2 linked regions of the Neodiprion lecontei genome follow. The protein of the gene in region 1 purifies or fractionates together with the protein of each later gene. This does not show direct contact. Links are inferred from orthologs where the notes say so. Each region holds a gene or a part of one and is shown on either strand. Other genes may lie near its edges.

Region 1 (11,273 bases):
TATAATTATGCGGTTTATATTTAACACGCGAAAAACATCGTTCAATTAGTTTTTACGGTCATGCAACGAGTGACTTCAATATCAATGTTATCATTGAATCTGTAGGTCAAGGTTGGACTATCGTGTAACATCAATGGTCACATATTTACCTCTCCACCAATTCATCCTTATGCTCTAATTTACAACGGGCAGGTCCGAACTTCATTAAGTCTTCGCGCTTCGTGCAGAAGACTCGTGCGAAATATGAAAAGAAAAAGAAGAGAAAAAAAAAAAACATAGCTAAATTTACTTTGATGGCCACACCCTGGACAAACTTGCCGATTCGGGTCACGCCTCACGCAAAAAGGGCAGACAGATCGGAAACCCGATGACATTGTATGAAGCGCACCTTTTTTTTTACCCTCAATTTATTGTCCCGGAAATTATTGCAGAGTATATTTTTGTACCGTATAATTTAACCGAGTTTGAAAAGTTGCGTATAAATAATTAGTAGGCTGGCGGGGCCCTGGGAAATAGTTTAATAGTTACTCTTATATTTCAATTTCTATTATTCGCACTGCTCGTACGGGCGTAACATATTCCCAGGCGTGAGAGTGCTCTTGAATGAATTGCAAAATCTTCGTGCGCAGTTTTACAACTGCAAATAAGCTATGCGATACACGTATTACTTGACTCATGACCGCGTAAATGTGTGTGTGTACATACGTATACACTTGTGCGTATTATAATATATATATAAATTCCAGCCCTGGGTAAATATACCTATATAAAGGCGTAAAGTGACAACGTTTTACTTAAGCAAATGGACGGGCGATTTATCGGAAATACTGCAGTAAAGATTGTCGGACACGTGGATAATCTGAGCGTTTGATACCTACCAAGAAATAATGGAAGCAACGGAAGTACCGAATCAATCAATCAGGTATGCAATTTTAGTGATGCGCACATGCAGAGGGTAATAATAATTATCCAGAGTCGCTGATGATCCGTTGTATCTGAAAATCGATAGTCGTTTTTGGACTCTTTCAATGTAGATATTATAATTATGCTGGTAACAATTAACTTTGATTAATTTTTTTTCAACTTCAGTATTGCTCAGTATTCAGGTTCGAGATTTATCATTTGATATATGGAGTTTCGTGTTTTAATTAAAATGTATTATTTCTCGTGGTTTGTCCTTGGTGATTTCACTCGCTCCAGTCCTCGAAGCTCTGTAAGGTGTCTACGTGTAATACGACACTGATCTTCTTCATTGGCCATATTCATTCCGTAAATGTTTACGTAAAGGCGTATGCAACGCACGATGTTTATCACTTGCAATTAGCATCAACGCTTTGATCATTGAGATTGAAATTATTCTTAATAATAAAAGCAAGGGTATTTTGTTTGAATTCCAGAAAAATTTGACATCAGTCTTATCGTAATATTATATATAGTATATTTATTTATTGGGAAAGCAGAGTTAATATATTTTTATGCATAAAAGTTACAGATTATAAAAATATTAATATATGTCTATTTATTATATGATAAGAAACGTGAAGTCAAAGATACAAGAGTTAAGATAATCCTATAAAAATTCGATTATGATCGTGATCACAATTTAATTTATAATTTCGTATACGCTTCGTACTTATAAATGTAATAGTAATTGCTGTTCACGATTACGCAAACTATACGTAATTATACGTATGCTATAATACGAATAAACAATCGAATATAGAAGATACACGCATATTTTGCACCCCAGCTGTTTCTTTCAATTTCGAAAACACAACTTTTACAACCGTCGGATTAAAATTTCTGACAAACGATTTTAGAAATAAATGGAACTGTTGGATACCCATCCTTTCGAATGATAATAAATTTCTCGTATGACAGTGAAAATAAGATGGTCAAGAAGCATACGATTTTACTATAGGTAGTTCAATTACCTGAAACATTTAAATTTGAACTTTATGCTCGAGTCTTTGTTGTAGAATTAGTCATTATTCTTAAACACAAAAGGTTTAGTTGCTTCATAACGTGGTTTCTATGGCCGTTAAAAGCTTTTCTAACTCAACTCAATCCTCAATAGGCTATTCCTAATTGGAATATTATGTACTTGCGGATTTATTATACGTGTGCAGAATGTATAATGCGGTGAAATTGCATTCGTGGCTGTAGCGTCATTCAAGGCTATGATGCGATCGATTTTGACTCGACATGACTTTGCTTGCGTTCTGAAGTAGGAGAAATTTTTTTTCCCATCTTCAGCGTCAACCGCTTGGTTAAAAAACAAACTCCTGGGATGAGAAAAATTCGTATTCTTTAGCCTGTTTCAAAACAGTTGTGAGTCACGACTAAACTTGGATAATCCCGCCTGTCAATAGTTTATATAATCCAGCGTTCTGAAATATCGTGTATGTTATAAACATTTTCTAGATTATCGGTCGCGCCGATAGCATTTGCTGGTAGCAGTTTACCGTCGGTAAGTCAACTCATTATCCTGCGAGATTATATACCTAAAAACCGCGACGAGCGCCAATAAATTCATGAAAAAACCGCCAGGGAACAGTCCGAGCGTCTAGACCGTTGAAGAGTGGCGGAGGATCTCTTAATTACGACAATCCCACGACCGACGAATTAGGAGGCCCTGAATTTACTCAGAGGCTGGCGATGATGGACATTTTTCTTTCCACAATTCTTCCTTTTCGGGCATTTCAGAACGTAGTGGTCAGTCGACTCTTCTCTCAGTTCACAGGGACGGGCATTTACCGCAATGTCCTGCGAAGCGGCTTTGAAAGGACGTGAATGCATATCGTGCGCAGCTGTTACGAAAAACCACAGCAGGTACCCGGGAGGTGGAAGGACAGATCAGGGACAACCCACGAGAAATTTGATTGGGGTATCCGTGAGCCCCTTTTCACGTCCCCGCAGATGTGACCGGATACGGTTGCTCCGTAGAAAAAATTTTACCCTCAAAAACGAGATGAAAAAAAAAACGTTGGCTGGGTATAAAAAGTGGGATACAGAGAGACGCAGGCTGGGAATGAAAAAAACTAACACGTGTACATGTCTTTATAAGCTTATGCTTATCGACCAATCGTACGATCTGTGCGTAGGCATGATTTGCACTTCACTTTGTCGCCGACCAACAGCGAATTGCATTTGCAGTTATGTGAATTATTGTACTACACGCTGTGTGGTCGTTGATAATTTCTATTGCGAGTTTTTAGTAACTCGCACCTTCTCAACTATCCCATTGTTCATGTTCATACATATACCAGTTCTCTGTCAAAGATATAATAATTAGGGATTTGATTTGTGGAAAAGTTTTCGTAAAACTGTTGAAATCGCGGATGCGATCGAGGAATTGCAGAAAATTCTGAATTTTAGTTGAAAAATCGCGAGAATGAGAAGTAAAGGCTAGCGAAATTGGAACACGTAATACGATGGCGAGTAGTTTTGGAGAGCCCGCATGTTACGCTACTGTCGTCGGCTGGCGCTGGTTGGAGGGGAAAGAGAGAGAAAGAGAAAGAGGATGGCTTCGGTATAGCGACGGAGAGAGACGATGAGTAAAAGAGAGAGACGGAGATGGAGGGAGCGATGGCGACGAGTACCGGTGCTGCAGTAACCGGCTGGCGTCCGTTGCCTCTCGGGTGTCGAAAACGTGGACGAAAAATAGATATTTCATAGATATCTGACGATAGTATATTGTTATCGAAACGCTTCCACTGTTTTATTAACGACAATTGAGCTGGATACATCACGGCTCACCGAGACTTTCCATGTCAACGCCACGCACGCTGTCGAACTGGCGAGCGTGCTACGCCCCGTGGTTACAGACTCGAATTCGTCGGTTTGTTTCTGATATTTTAGTGGTTTTTGAGGATACATCGGTAACGTTACTACCGCCTCGGGAAACCGTCGTAACAACGAGCAAGCCCCCGCAATATTGAGATGAGCGATCATGGCTGCATACACTTGAATAATTTCAAAGCAGCCAAGGGGATACAGCCGTACAAAGTAATACACTCCTATTTCGTGACCAGCACTTCGACCGAGGCACGCGTAAGGAAGGTGCGACATCTTTTTACACATCTCCAAACCTTTAGAGATACTGATAATAGTGTGGAATACCTCCCTTCCCCCCCCCCCCCCCCCCCTCCCCCTATCTATGTTTACAAATAATATATTCCACCATCCCGAATATACTTATGTGTGTACGTCTAAAGGTAAATATTGTACTATCAGTCTGTCACGGCAATTTGAATCAACTATGTTTTGCTCCACCTCTCAGATACGACAGAAAACAAAACACGCTCGATCGCGATAGTGTTTTGTCGCGGACTGCGATCGTCCGGTGTCACAGCCACAGCTACTCCTCGGTCACCTAACTTCACCCGACATTCAAACTTATGCCACACACTCTTGTTCATTCACATTTCCAGCATGGTAGATAGCTACGAGTGTGAATTCGTACTTTACCGACACGCGCCTGTCTCTCTCCCGCTACTCGCATCCGACTAAAACCCCCGATAAAAAAATCATTTTCTTTATTCAATCCAAACTGATGATAATTGAAAAATACATATATACGTCGAGACTTGGTCATGCTGAGAATAACGATGATTCCTTCGTTTTCTTTTTACTCGTTATTACTAAAAACGTACAATATATTATACACTCATCGCGTACTATGACGTGTAAATACCAGATCCACGGATTTTGCTCAGTGTCAGAGTATTCGCGATGTCATTCTTTTAACACTGCGGTCAAGGTATAAGAAATACTAGAAGTGAGGTTACTCGCTTCTCTTCCTATCGTTGTGTATTACAGAAAGAAACGAGTGATTATCATAATTCCTATCAGAAATCACGGACTCTTAAAGATTTAATGCAAATTTCCTACTCGTGTCCCGATATTTCCCGAATTTTCCACTCCTTGATCTTTCATTCTATTTTCTTTCTCTTTTTCGTTAATTTGCATATTCTCAATTTCTCGATCGACCTGCAGTCGCTTCAGCGCTTACCATTTTCAATTTATTATAATCATACCTTTTATCTGATATACCTATGACTATATTGTTTTAGCAATCATTTTGCTCGTCAGTCGTAATAGACGGCGAATCTTTTTTTCTCGTCCTGTATGTCACCCCCCTCCCCTTTCGCTTCTTCTCGTTTTCTGTCGAATTTTTCCACTCGTCGAACAGGTGTGGACATTATATTCCTTTGCCCGACACGAAATTATGTTTACACGCTATAATAACGCCGTCTATACTTGCTCTTCATATTTGTGAAATATGTGTTCCTTGTATTCAAAAAATGGTGTGCATGCATGGGTCACATATACCACATTTATGACTGTGTACAAAGCAGAAGTTTAACTCGATATACATGTTGCAACAATGATATCTCATGGATGGAATTTTTTATTTCATTTTTTTTGTCATCTATTGGTCGAAAATCAATAATGTTAATCAACGTATAACTAAATGCATATCAATTAATCTTTATTAAAGAAATTAATTAAACCGCAGAAAGATTGAGTTCAATTTTTAAATTGAGATCAATTTATATGTTCCAAGATGATCATGGCACAGTATTGTTAACAAAATTATGCCACACGTGATCAGCTATAAATTAAGATTTTATTCATAAAAAACAGTACAAATCTAAAACAAATCTTCTTTGATTATGATGTTCATAATTTCATTACATGTGCAAGCTACTCATATTAATGTTCAGTTAATTGAGGAGAGCAAATGACTGTGCATTGTCGATAATGTATCATATCAAAAAGAAAAAATATAATCATATGCGGGCAATATGAGTCAGTGTAAGATAATAGAAAGGAAATTTGTGAGCTGATTGTGAGACATTTAGTTGTTTAGTCATTAAAATAAAAATAAGATAATCATTTACGGTGTACTATTAGATAATATAATTGATTCATCTGTTTGTTGTTAGAACTCAGGCTATGTTCCATTTATCTCTGGTTAAATAAATGCATTTCTTTCATTTATTATAATTATTCTTGTATCTTAATTTCACTATCCTTTTACTAATAAAAAAAAAAAAGAAACTCTTATTTGCATAATATTCTTTGAACCCGCACTAAAATTAAAAGTGAAGCGGATCATACCAATTATTAATCAGTTCAAGTATCCTATTAAAGAAATATTTAATTTTTAAGGATCTGCAACGTAGTCATAATTTTGACAGTAATTAAGTGTAAGCAGCAAATTATAAGCAGCGATATAGTCCGTTGGTTGTCATTATTATTCTTTTTCTCCTTTTCTTTACAGGCAGTGAGCTGCTTGTGTCACACCTGTAAAACTTACAAGGATCGCCTTCACTCGTGTTTGCACTGCATTTTTTTTGGCTGTTATTCGAAAGGACACATACAAGAACATGCCAAGACCAAAAAACATTTTCTAGGTAATATTGTCTGTCACATGAACCAGGTTTTCATCTAAATCATTTAGAAAATATCAAGTCTATTCCACATCTCGTCCGCCATAAATGATATAGTACCTCTTTCTCACATTGATAAAAAATAAAAATCAAATTTCGACGCAATCAGTTTTAAAAATAAAATAGAAAAATAAAAAATTTGATAAGAATAGAACAATAATTATGTAACAAATACCCAAGATGATGACAGAAAATTAGATACACATGCCTGTAATATTAATAGGATATTGGCAGGTTTTACTCGAAGCACGTAGAAGGGACATATATACCCAGTCTATAGTATTTATTTATAGAAATAGGTATATTTTGAGCATAATTTAGGATATTTTTTCATACTGACTCCATATTGTTTATCTTATAAATCACACAATTTTAACTTTGCTCTAATTTCAAGGGCTGTTGCTGGTATTAAAATAGGTAGGGACCTATTTATAGCCGGAGGACGAATAAACTATTATAACTATTTACTGTCTAGCATTAAGTAACAAACTTTTCTAGAACTAAACAGACGTTGAATATATATTTGTCTTACTGAAACATTGTAATTTACTTGTTTTTACTGTATTGCAAAATTCCAACATCTGAACAGGTTTTGATTTGAAAATATCAGTGATGTACTCTTTTATAGCATATTTAAATATAAGTGAAATTGATAATCTTACTTGACGATATACAAAGAAATTGAATTTGAAATTACAGCCGTTGATCTATGCTACGGCAACATATTATGCTTCCAATGTGGGGACTACGTGTACGACAGGGAATTAACAGCGGTTGCAAAGTCACAGTGGAGCCAGTCGGCGAGGTCACTTAGTTTGGGAGAGTTTTATAGAGCCTGGGAACCGACGCAAGTTGAGGCGGACTTGTTGAGAAAAAATCCACGACGTCGACGTATCGTGGAAAATTCCACTATAGGTAAGGAAATATTGAGAGTCGATTCCCACACTCCTGACTGTTTAATATATGTAGAAACAATTTTTCAGGTCTGAGAGGTCTGATAAACCTCGGTAGTACTTGTTTCATGAACTGCATAGTGCAGGCGTTGATACATACGCCTCTTCTTCGGGACTATTTTCTAGCTGATCGACATCATTGTCCCCAGCCAAGCCGTTGTCTTGTTTGTGAAGTATCGCACCTTTTCCAAGAATTTTATTCCGGCAACAAGGCTCCCTTGACACTTCATAAACTGCTTCATCTAATTTGGACACACGCCAGGCATTTAGCTGGCTATGAACAGCAAGATGCACATGAATTCTTTATTGCAACGCTAGATGTACTCCACAGGCACTGCGAGGCTGCCCCTATTTTGGTCAAAGACAACCCTCATCATTGTAATTGTATTATAGATCAAATATTTACCGGAGGATTGCAAAGTGATGTTGTCTGCCAAGCGTGCAAGTAAGGAAGGGTTTTAGGTTGATATTACAAATCCGATTAGGGTAACAAGCTTTCCACGTCAACCGATCCAATATACTTTAGTCAAGAATCAATTATCCTAGGTCAATAGCGAAGCTGACGTTGATGTAAAGGGCTTTACCGGCACTCGAAAAAAATGGCCGATCGCATAAGTGAACTGATAATAATTAACTTTTCAGTGGAGTATCGACTACGATTGATCCTTTTTGGGACATCTCCCTGGACTTGGGCCCCACTGCTGGAGCATCGGGGCCTGACAGTTCCGGTCCACCTACCTCGTTATTAGACTGCCTAGAACGTTTTACACGTGCCGAACACTTGGGATCAAGTGCGAAGATAAAATGTAGTAATTGCCAAACTTACCAGGAAAGCACAAAACAATTAACTATGAAACAGCTACCCATTGTTGCCAGCTTTCACTTGAAGAGATTCGAACATTCTAGCATTCAGGATAAAAAGATATCGACCTTTATAGCCTTCCCTGAACAGTTGGACATGACTCCTTTTATGTCTCATAAAAGAAATGGTAATAACAACACCACGATAGATAGCTTTCCGAAAAATGGCGAAGACACTGCCTTCGGTGATAACAGGTATTCGCTCTTCGCTGTTATCAACCACGAGGGATCGTTGGAAACTGGTCATTACACAGCGTTTATTAGACAGCAGAGAGATCAGTGGTTCAAATGTGACGATCATCTAATAACTAGGGCAAAATTGAAGGACGTGTTAACTAGCGAAGGGTAAGTAGATTAAGACTCCTTGTTGAATTTGAGTAAAAATAAAATTTCGAACGCATGTTTGTGTAATAATTAATTTTTTTATTCATTAAAATAAAATATTGCAGGTACCTCCTTTTTTATCACAAGCAGATCCTCGAGTATGGAAAAAACAGTAAAGTATAAAACCCAAATCATGTAATTAAATTATTTATCTTGACAACGATAAGTCAGGCGATAGATTTTAAGTTGATTAGGTTTATTACACGTCGTATATAGGTTGGATTCTACATATTCTAACTTGATATTTCAGCATTTTTTTTTTCGAACCTTCTTATGATTATGCGAGCGGTTGAACGATTACTTTAAAATATATTGCGTATTTATTTCTCAAAATATACTTGCATCAGTTTTAATGTAAAAAAAATTAGGAGTATAAATAATTTAAATCACAATAATCATAATAATTTATAATAACTGTTTAGTTTTACAACTACTTAATTACAACTTTTACCTTCATGACATATTATTAGGGACAAAGTGATTGGCTGCAAAAACTTTCTTAAAATATATCGTAATCATAATTTATGACTACCGATAGCTAACGTAAAAGTATATCGCTGTAGTTTTAATGGAAACTAAGTGGATTAATTGTAGGATTTGCAGAACGCCAATTCACTGTACGTATATTTCAATATTTATTCAATCATCTTCCATTTGTCAAATGATTACTCGAGCCTACTTAATCTACTACTGTCAATCCGCGGATTCCGTAGAATTCGTTAATGTGTCGTCGACTCCGATCCACCGAGTTAAGAACTGACTGATATCCGCTTCACAGACGGAAGTGGAATGATTACAGGAAAAGTTTTGCTATTTGTGTATGTATATTTACGGTTTATTTCTGTTGAAGTATTATTAGCAGACTCTGTAATCCCTAATACTCTCGTGCTTTACGGATCTTATATCGATAAATGGACAAACTAAGGATAATAAATATTTGTATTGTTCGAACGAAACTCACAAATGAAATATTAAGCGAAGTATCACAGCTGTAGTAGGTATATTTGCTATTATGTTATCAACATAAAGACGATTAAAGTCCTACTAACGATGTTACAGCTGGATTTTGTTGTCCAGTTACGTAAGAATTAGTTTTCTAAGATTAGCTCAATTTTTTTTAAATTGCCAAAAATATCGCAATTTTTGTATATCGATGACTAATGTTGTATCTCCTCCCCTCCCCCCTTCCCCCCCTCCCTCCCTCTCCCTTACGATTTACATACATAAACATTATACATATGCGTGGCTGATCCATTTTATTGAAGTTTACCAAGGAATTCCATTTATTAATGATCGATTGACTGTGCTCACTATTCTATATTATAACTCCATGAAATCATGTTACTCTATGGATCTCTTTAATTAAAAATAAATTTAAATGCTGACTTTTTCGAGTTATTGTGATCACTACTGAATAGTTAAAGTAACTTGTATAGAATTCGTAGTACGCGGTCTTTGGAATATGCCTGATAAACTAACTAACTGACTAACTTCAATTCATGCAATGTGGAACTACTGTGCATACACGTATAGTGATTAATTAAGAACAAATGAATTTTGTACAAATAAAATAGCTTTGATGAAGTGACTGTATTTCGATGCGACGATTGACGATGATGATGATTTACGTCCAACTGTGTATATTAAATTATAATTTGAATAAATTTCTGGTCGCTAATTGTAAATTTTAAATTTGAACATTTTTTAATTTATTGTTATTATGGGTTCAATATTACTAAATAACGTCTGTATTTAAACTTAATTGTGCAGTTTTTTTGCATACTAGTTATTCGAAATATGAGCTTGGATAAAAAATGAATTAAAGTACACATACATTGCAGGTGATTTTAGAATTAGAAATATTTCTAATTTTGTCCAAAATAAACAACCTGTTATAATTTGATAGTAATCCGAATTGTACGAAACTCAAGTTTACTATGTAGTAGGTTTTGCTTATTTTCGCAATATCTACTACGTAATAAAGTTGAACAGGAAAGCTGACTGATTGTAGAATATCAGAAAACAAATTTACCGCCACGCTAATTTGAATCACAGATAAAACTGGCGCTGAAAGTACTCAGCTTGACACTTGAATTGAACACGTCATCAACGACGTTGTTCACCACTGTTCACCACGTGGTTATTCCCGATGTTTTCAGCTGAATATCGCGTTCAATCATTTGAGCCGCGAAATGAACAGGAATAAAACGAAATTTGATAATTATGCTGACACGCGTAAAAATTTGATGATTGGTTTAACTATGCGGACAGAGTAAAGGACTGCAAAATAATTCCATGATGATACGAATGTTTCAAAGATGGACGCCCTGACTTTTGGTTCGCACAGGTAAACATAACTCTGGCATAGATCCAATGTTTCGCAAGTTATTTCATAGATAATTCATGATTCGTTGCATTATTATGAGCCTTATGTTTCAGACTTGTTCACCTTGACCTCAAGGGCGCTCCACCCCGAGTATCTTACCTTGAAAAGGTCTGTATTGCAAGAAATATACAGATACCCTACATATGCGCAGCATTTGTTTGTTTACGTCTTCTAATTTTGACAGCTGTCAAAAGGAGGTCTTTGTTCTTTTTTTTCGCATTCTGCCCAGTA
Region 2 (8,551 bases), on another chromosome or scaffold:
GATATCTGTACTGCAAAATGGGGGTGTGAACGAGGCTTAAGAATACGAGATAAACTCACCGTGTCTCAAACCATCCAAGTGTCACTTACCTGTCAACATATTAAAGTTTCCTCAGAATAACTCCGAGTTGAGTTATTCTTCTCAGCCATCAAGGAGAAAATGATTCACAGTTTATTTATAATAAATTCATCAGGGTAAGTTTGTTTCTATATAACAAGTTAGTTCATAAACCTGAGAAATAACCGTGACATAGCCTAAAAATTTGTCACCTTTCAGAGATGTATTTATGGAAAAACATTGGAAAAGTGCGGTCGCGCGATCCCTGTGTGATTATTTTTTTGACCAACAACGTAGAGTTTCTTCACCTGAAGACACGCCACCAGTTATTGCAACACCGCATCATTATTTGATCAGCATATATCGCTGCAATATGTTTTTTGTCGCTGTGTGTATGACGGAAGGTACGCTGTTGCTAAATGCTTCATAGTATTATATCTTTGCTAATTTTAATGTGATCTCATCATTTTTGTTACATTGGTTAATTACAGTTATAATTCTCACGCTGCTGGTAAATATTACATACTTATCGACTGTTTCAGTTCCGCCACTGTTTGTTATCGAGTTTTTACACAGAGTAGTAGACACGTTTGAAGACTACTTCAGTGAATGTACAGAAACAATAATAAAAGAGAATTATGTTGTTGTTTATGAATTGTTGGACGAAATGTTAGACAATGGTTTTCCATTGGCGACAGAATCAAATATCCTCAAAGAACTGATTAAACCACCCAATATTTTAAGAACGATAGCTAATACCGTAACAGGGAAGTCTAAGTAAGTAAAATAACATTACTACTACTGCTATGAGTACAGTAATACTGACAGTCGCTTACCATATTGTACAATTTTCAGTGTGAGTGCAATCTTGCCAAGTGGCCAATTGTCAAATGTACCCTGGCGAAGAACGGGTGTTAAATACACAAATAATGAAGCTTACTTCGATGTTGTTGAGGAAGTTGATGCTATAATTGACAAAACTGGGGCAACAGTTTTTGCAGAAATCCAAGGCTATGTATGAATCGTAAAGTTATATTTTGTAAAAGAAATTCTCATAAACCAGAAATGGAAGCTCTTAATGAATCATATGATAACAAGGCAATATTAATTTTCAGATTGATTGCTGTATTAAATTGAGTGGCATGCCTGATCTCACACTTTCATTCATGAATCCAAGATTATTTGATGATGTCAGCTTCCATCCATGTGTTAGGTTCAAGCGATGGGAGGTTTGTGTCTACATTTATAACATAAATGTAAACAATATTGACTCACAGGCAGAATAACTTATACTATTTTAGTCCGAGAGAATATTGTCCTTCATTCCACCAGATGGTAACTTCCGACTTCTGTCCTACCATATCGGGTCGCAAAGTATTGTGGCAATTCCTATATACGTAAGGCATAATATAAGCCTAAAGGAATCTGGTGGCGGCAGATTGGATATTACAGTTGGGCCTAAACAAACTGTTGGACGAACTGTAAGCAATTTTATGCAATCTTTTAAGCTTTGAATATGTTTGAAAAAAACTGTAAGTGACTTGCAGTTCGTAAAACTATTTTTATGCTGTGTTAATTTCATACATTATATCTGATATTTACGGATCAAGATAAGGACAAGGGTTGTGATTGATATTGCTTAATTCTCTTTTTTAGGTAGAAAATGTTAATATCGAAATTCCCATGCCAAAATCAGTATTAAATTGTAGTTTGGTACCCAATCAAGGAAAGTACTCTTTTGATCCAGTCAGTAAAGTACTTGTGTGGGATATTGGAAGAATAGATGTTGCGAAATTGCCCAATCTTCGAGGAAGTGTAAGTTGCAATAGAAAAAATTCAACAATACTAATAATACTACAAAAAACAAAATTTTGACTGACTTCATTGTTGTCATTTCTTAATTTTCAAGATCACTATTCAAAATGGGGCGACCGTCACAGAATCAAATCCTGCTATCAATGTAAGTCTCATTATCATAACAAGTTTATTTTAGCATTGTCTCAACTTCGTATACTCGTAATGACGTCTAATAAGGAATCGTTCTAAACGCTTTTACTTTTAGGTTCATTTCACAATCAACCAGCTTGCTGTGTCTGGCTTGAAAGTAAACAGGCTCGACATGTATGGTGAAAAATATAAGCCGTTCAAAGGTGTAAAATATATTACAAAAGCTGGTAGATTTCAAATCAGAATGTGAATCCCCACCGCTATCAATTTTAATATATCAAAGGTAGAAAATATATTACTTATTACAAATTTTTGTGAGTTAATACAATTCTGGTACCATCAAAACCTCAATATTTTTGCTCCTAGATTTACCAATAATTCTTCCACTATCGAAATCTGCCATTAACTTACAAACGAAAACAACAGAACAACTTACGTTTAACAATTATTTTGCACTACTCTAAATTCTACTTCTTTTGTCACGTTCTTAAATTTTTACACAGTATTTTCCTTGCCTCCAAATCTTCCCAGGTTGGGTGCGTAGCATATGTATGTAGACGTTCCATATTAGTTGCATAAATTGTATGATTGTTGATGAGATTCTTGTGGATCTATGGTCAAATATTGTCAAGTATATGCATAATGCAACAGTGTAGTGATGCAAATATTTGGTGAAAAACATTGGAGAAATGTCCTATATTTTCACTAATTCAACGTATTTACGTAAGATTAATGATCTCATTCAAGACAGTAAACAGTTGTGAGTTTCAAAATTTATATCCTGTTATTTTTTCCAAGAATTGGTTTGTTGTTATACTCATCCGAATATTTAGGCATATTTAATTAACACACCGTAACAAATATATTCATCAAACTCATACCTTCAATGCTTTTTGAAGATTAGCCACATTAACAGGATCGGGAGTCGGTGAGGTAGTTTGTGTTGAACATGCCAATGCAAATGCATTTGCTTGTTCCGCTTCTTCGAGTGTTTGCTTCATTGCAGGTACTTGTCCTTCAGGCTCCACTATATTTGTAGCCATACTGGATAATTCATATATTATTCGTTATAGACGCACACATGAAATTTACGGAAAATCTAGCACTATCCTTTTACATACTCTATCAAATTAGAAAATAAATAGGAGGCTTTAAACTATGATTGAAATTCGAAGAAGTCAAATCGGTACAAAAAAATTTCAGAAATAAGGGAATAAGCACTAAAGTAACGATCTTATGCAAAATGTAACATTAGTCCCTACTTCCAGCCTATTCCGATTTTATTCATAAATATGAATCTATGCTGTACCTAAAATTTGACGTGTTGGTTATGTAGGATGTATTTCTGGTCCATGAACTGGGTACTGGTTCACCTATGTTATGAATAAATGATCCTTCTCGCACCGAGAAACCTTTCCGTCGAGTTATTACGGCTGTGAGTATATTTTTGAGAAATACCTGTAAGTATGAGAATTGGGTTGTTATTTTTCACTCACATCATGGGTAAAACCGACTGAAGAATAGAATAAACAATGTACTTTCCCGAATCCAGAACATTGCACAATCTGATTACTTCAGTATAGCAAAATACTCGTAGCTATAGCATATTCGTACCTGAGTAGCAGCTATAATTATTTGAGCTGTATTTTCTTCAGCTCCATCCATATTATTCTCCCATGCAGCAAGCATTAGTCTAGCTAAAACGAAGGTACGATCTGGCAGCAAAAGCTCTTGCGCGCTGGAATGATTGGCACCTATAGGTTCGTCTCCAACCAGCGACGAACTTTGGCCCAAGACTTCAACGTAGACATCTGCAGGCTGAAATATGCAGCTTTTATATTCTTAACATAAATTTTCTCAGGTTGTATTTGCTTTTTTTTCATACAAAAATATCTGCTTTCAAATATTTGACACAGCCTTATGGCCACTTTATACATATTTCCAGAGACCAATAATGAATGAATACTTCTATATGTTAGCAATAAAATATCAAATTCCTAACAGATACCCATTTAACACTATAGTGCCTGCTATCGCACATTCACTAATTTGGCAAAATGGCAATTTTTATTTATGAGTTCATGAATTTTAATCAAACATTTTGGAAGAGAGTTACAGGCTCTCTGGTATCCTAAGGTCTTGAAATCATAAGTTCATCGACAGGTAATTAATGGCAAAAATGTTTAAAACTAAATTTTTACAAAATTTTAACTGAAATATGTATAGCAGTTTTAAAAAATAATATTCTTCAACTGAATCCGAGTACTGGCACTATATGGTTAATCACGGATTTTTTAATATTATTCCAAAACAGCTTCTTACTTCAAAATTTGATTTGTCTGTTTTATATTTTCGTTTCAATCGCAGCCTTTTCTCTAGCATTTTTTCTTTATCAAGATGAGCATTTGTATGATTGTGTTTGTTAGTTCGGACTGTTGTCACAGACGCTAACCCCTGTACTTTGTTGAACAAGCAGAGTAGAAATTCATTGTGCAAATGGACTTGATCCTCAGTCATAATGTTGCGCGCCTCGCAGTCAAATTCTTCTTTAGTTGTCTGAGAAAATCAAATAAGTGTATGATTAAAAAAAAAAAAGTAGCAAAACGATTCTTGGATATCAAGACTCAGGTAAGATATTGGTGTACCTTCATCTGAAACCACAGCTTCATTTTTTCAAAGTACCTGTAACCACAATATGATAATTAAGTATGTGTACACCCAAAGTCCATTGCGATTCCAAGGAAATCAGTAAAGGGTGAATTCAAAGTGACAGATCAGAAAGGTTTTTAACCGCTGTATTAGTATAATCAGTTATTACAGTATCATACCAAGATCAGGTTGTCGCAATATTTACAAAAGGTAATTGAGCTCAAATTGTATACACACATTGCACACATAATGTTGAGTGACATAAAAACAAACTTACAGTTTTGCGTTATCACCTAGCGATGCGACAAGGCTTTTTCTTGCTACGGTCAACTCTTTCGACGATGTCATACCGCAATCGAACCGTTCGAATTTATTTTGTGACAATAAACAGACATCTATTTGCACGCGACTCTTACATTGACATTTCGACACCTAACAACATAAGCGAACTCACTAACACGATCGTATAAAGTTGTTATATTGTTCCTCTTACATCGTGACATTGTTGCGTGCAAACGAGAAAGCAATTTTGTGCAGATTTGTGAACGTTGAGTGCGTCAGATGCGCGCGCATCAAAGTTTAATAAATTTCAATCACAAGGTTGGCGACAATGATTGTTGACAATTTGTTGGGAACAGGGAAAATTGACTGTATGCAGGCTGCAGTGACTTAACCTCGCAAAGAGACCAAATACGACGATCGGACAATGACAATTTACCCCATTCTGTAGCGACAAATCCATTAACATACCGCAGTAGAAAGTATAATTAAATACTCTGCCAAAATGGCAAGTCAAATAAGTACAGCGATGGACAGCTTAAATGCTGCTGTAAAGTCGAATATAATACCAAACCAAGAATACCTTCTGCAAGGTTCGGTTATGGACAGTGCGGTGGAAGTCTTATTGCAAAGATTGAGAGGATTGTGCGATAACGTTGATAGTAGGCCGGAGACTTTTCGTGATCATGAAATGTGTTTCAGTATCAGGAGGTAAATCTCATTCTCTTTTTGCTGGTATACATTGTCGTTATTCACCCAGAGTGCTTAGTACTTCACATTGTTTGCATATTTTCTAGGTTTCAGATGCGGCTTTAAAATTGTAACTTGCCTATTGTGACAATTTATATTTCACGATAATAATATAATGAGCCATTATTTTCTTCCAGCAAAATTTAAAAATTTACTTTGTGTTTTAAAAAAGAAGAGCATTTCAAATATAAATTTTAACCTTTCAGAGGTCCTCCGCCAGAACAACCATTGTCGCTGAGGGTGAGAAGAGCCTTAGATCATCAGGATATGCCTTGGCAGCTACGTTACATCGGACAACCCGAGCTAGGTGACAAGTCTAGACCGACAATAGTGCGAAGCAGTATAGACATTGCAACAAGCAGTACAGTTGTTGAATTCCTCACAGAATTGGGATGTAGAATAGATTTTGAGTATATTGTACAGGGATACATGTTCCGAAAGGGTAGAATGAAAGTAACTGTAGCAAAAATATTTAAAATGGTTCAAGTGAAAATACCGGATAATGTAGAACCCATATCTCAAAGCTACTTGGTCGAATTGAGCGTGCTTGCTCCACGTGGACAAGATGCAATAGCTGAAGACATGAGAATATTCGCCGAACAGTTAAGACCTTTAGTTCAGCTTGAAAAAATTGATTATAAACGACTGAGTCATTAGGGGGTTTAGAATCAGTGTCCATAAATGAATCACTGATGAATAGTTCCTAATATACAATTGGGTACAATGTTGTCTTTTCAGATTTCAGTGTGCGAGAACTATATAGCAGAAATGATAATACATCGTAGTTCTCTTATTGCGAATTTTCAAGAGGAATCTTTATGCAAGTATTATTTCAATATTTCCTACTGCAATGACCCATAGAGATTTTTTATATTGTACTATTGGATATTTACATTTGAATCAGATCCATAAAATTAGAATGAATTTGTAAAGTATTGAACAAAGTCCAATAAAGATCCGACATCGATGCTACAATTAGTCATGTTATGATACAGAAACTACTAATTTTTAACTCTTCGAATGAAGTAAAGTATTTTAAAATAATGAATAAGTACTCGCAACTGAAATTGAACTCAATCTCATTTTTAAATCTCCAACACCTACCGAACTCAATAAATATGAACTCTTGTGATTATTGCAAAAGTGTGATGAGCATGATAAAAGGGATACTAGAAGATACGTGATTTCCTGATAATCTGTTATGATTGTCAAACACCTGCAGCATGTAATTTGAGGGATGGTTGAAAGTTTGTACTATGTCTATGATAAGGCAGGACTATACCAATCATTTGCTCAGGGATGTAGGACTAATGGATGCAGTATGAGATTGGCTGGGCAGCAAAATAACAATGTGAAGAGAGATAATGAGTGTAAGGGTCACTAATTGTAAGCCACATTGGATCGTACCTTTCAACCGGAATTTTAAGGATTAGGTAATGGTACTTGATATCCTTTTAATATTGACTAACCATTTCCTCCCAGTTAGGAAGGCAGAGTGAAAAAAGTACTATGAGGTAGTCTAGCAATTTGTAAATGCTGGAAGGTAAATAAAAAAATTAGTTAGTATTAAATCGTTTAGTAAATAATCCTTAATGGTTAAAGAAAAGAACCGATGCAAAATTCTCGGGCCATTTTAACTAGATTAACTGGGAATGGAGAGTCGAGAGTTGCGTTATTGAAAATGAATCCGTGGATATTGATAACTCAAATGGCTTCGCGTTGTCGATCAGGTAACGATTATGCACCCACATCAATGTTTCGAGTATCAATGTTTTTGATTGATGGGTTTTAAAGTCGATATATCGATAATCGATGGAAAATATTGGACTATCGACATCATTATGTCAGGAATAAATTGAATTTCTGTGCCAACATCTGTCGGTAACTCATCTATAGAACTTTTCTATTAAATTTCTCACTGTTAATTAGAATGTTTCAATAATTTAATTTTATCCAATGTAATTTATATTTAGTTCTCATATTTTATTTTTATTTTGAATAATAATGATAATTCAAAACTTGAAATTTCTGCGTTCATTATTCTGTCTACAATTGTATCTAAAATTTTTGAATTTTTCGCGCTTTTATTCGTCACCGATGATAACAATCGATGTTCCGATGTTTTTAAAAGAACATCGATAGTAGACTGGTAGTAGAATTAAAACAATCGACAATAGGATGTCGCTATTTTATACTAACATCGCCCATCCCTCTGAACTCGTATCGTGTATACAGCAAACTCGGACGTAAATTGTGGATCGAAAATGCGGATGAATAATGGGACGCGATCCATTTTTTCATCCGCGTTTTCGATCCACGATTTACGTCCAAGTTTGCTGTATACGCGATACGAGTTCTGGTAACTTTTTTTCGGTCCGAGAAATCGGTCCGATTTCTAGCACTGTGTAAACACGTCTTTACTGAACTATAAGGAGACAACTCCACGTAAACAAATTCCTGCCTGAAATAAACTGGCACTGGTGTTCTGTAAACACCGAAGACAGTGAAGGGAGTATAACTTTCTATGAATTACATTTCAAGATCGCCGATCGATTAGTGGATCTTGGGCATCCCTGCAACCAATCACGCATAGGTGTAAAAGGAACACTGACGACGCTTATAGTGAAATTTAGTGGGCAGATTTTGTACCAACAACTATCCAGTACTGATCTTTGAAAAAAATTATTATATATCAATGTGGCTATTACCACCGGTATGTCGCAAATATGTTTCTGCTTGCGGAACTATGCGAAAAATCTGAGAAACATCAGAAACTCGCATCTCGATTCATATTCTATATTACAAGAAGGTTAATATATAAAACTCATTCTTCATAAAGTTCAACCCCGTTTATTTCCTCAGTTACAAT

What was found. Proteins that work in one complex are often made in the same cells at the same time.
Region 2: the proteins of ubiquitin carboxyl-terminal hydrolase 22 (region 1) and transcriptional adapter 1 purify together in Homo sapiens (affinity purification with mass spectrometry; 4 studies listed by BioGRID and IntAct, with this or other methods). This does not show direct contact. The link is inferred for Neodiprion lecontei from reciprocal best matches to the Homo sapiens genes USP22 and TADA1.

The regions. Positions count from the first base shown.
Region 1 is NC_060261.1:8,569,733-8,581,005, forward strand, and holds ubiquitin carboxyl-terminal hydrolase 22, read left to right. Parts: upstream 1-3,053; 5' UTR 3,054-3,942; coding exon 3,943-4,062; intron 4,063-6,289; coding exon 6,290-6,422; intron 6,423-7,157; coding exon 7,158-7,373; intron 7,374-7,441; coding exon 7,442-7,856; intron 7,857-8,053; coding exon 8,054-8,617; intron 8,618-8,721; coding exon 8,722-8,779; 3' UTR 8,780-10,348; downstream 10,349-11,273. Other genes in the region: hexosaminidase D, read left to right, coding at 10,975-11,003, 11,096-11,150. UniProt on the Homo sapiens protein: Deubiquitinase that plays a role in several cellular processes including transcriptional regulation, cell cycle progression or innate immunity.
Region 2 is NC_060262.1:34,394,386-34,402,936, forward strand, and holds transcriptional adapter 1, read right to left. Parts: upstream 5,150-8,551; 5' UTR 5,002-5,149; coding exon 4,931-5,001; intron 4,687-4,930; coding exon 4,650-4,686; intron 4,561-4,649; coding exon 4,327-4,560; intron 3,823-4,326; coding exon 3,619-3,822; intron 3,463-3,618; coding exon 3,314-3,462; intron 3,049-3,313; coding exon 2,886-3,048; intron 2,616-2,885; coding exon 2,484-2,615; 3' UTR 2,372-2,483; downstream 1-2,371. Other genes in the region: AP-3 complex subunit mu-1, read left to right, coding at 160-194, 277-461, 600-834, 913-1,072, 1,173-1,286, 1,359-1,538, 1,714-1,872, 1,967-2,017 and 1 more; mediator of RNA polymerase II transcription subunit 18, read left to right, coding at 5,438-5,643, 5,889-6,339. UniProt on the Homo sapiens protein: Probably involved in transcriptional regulation.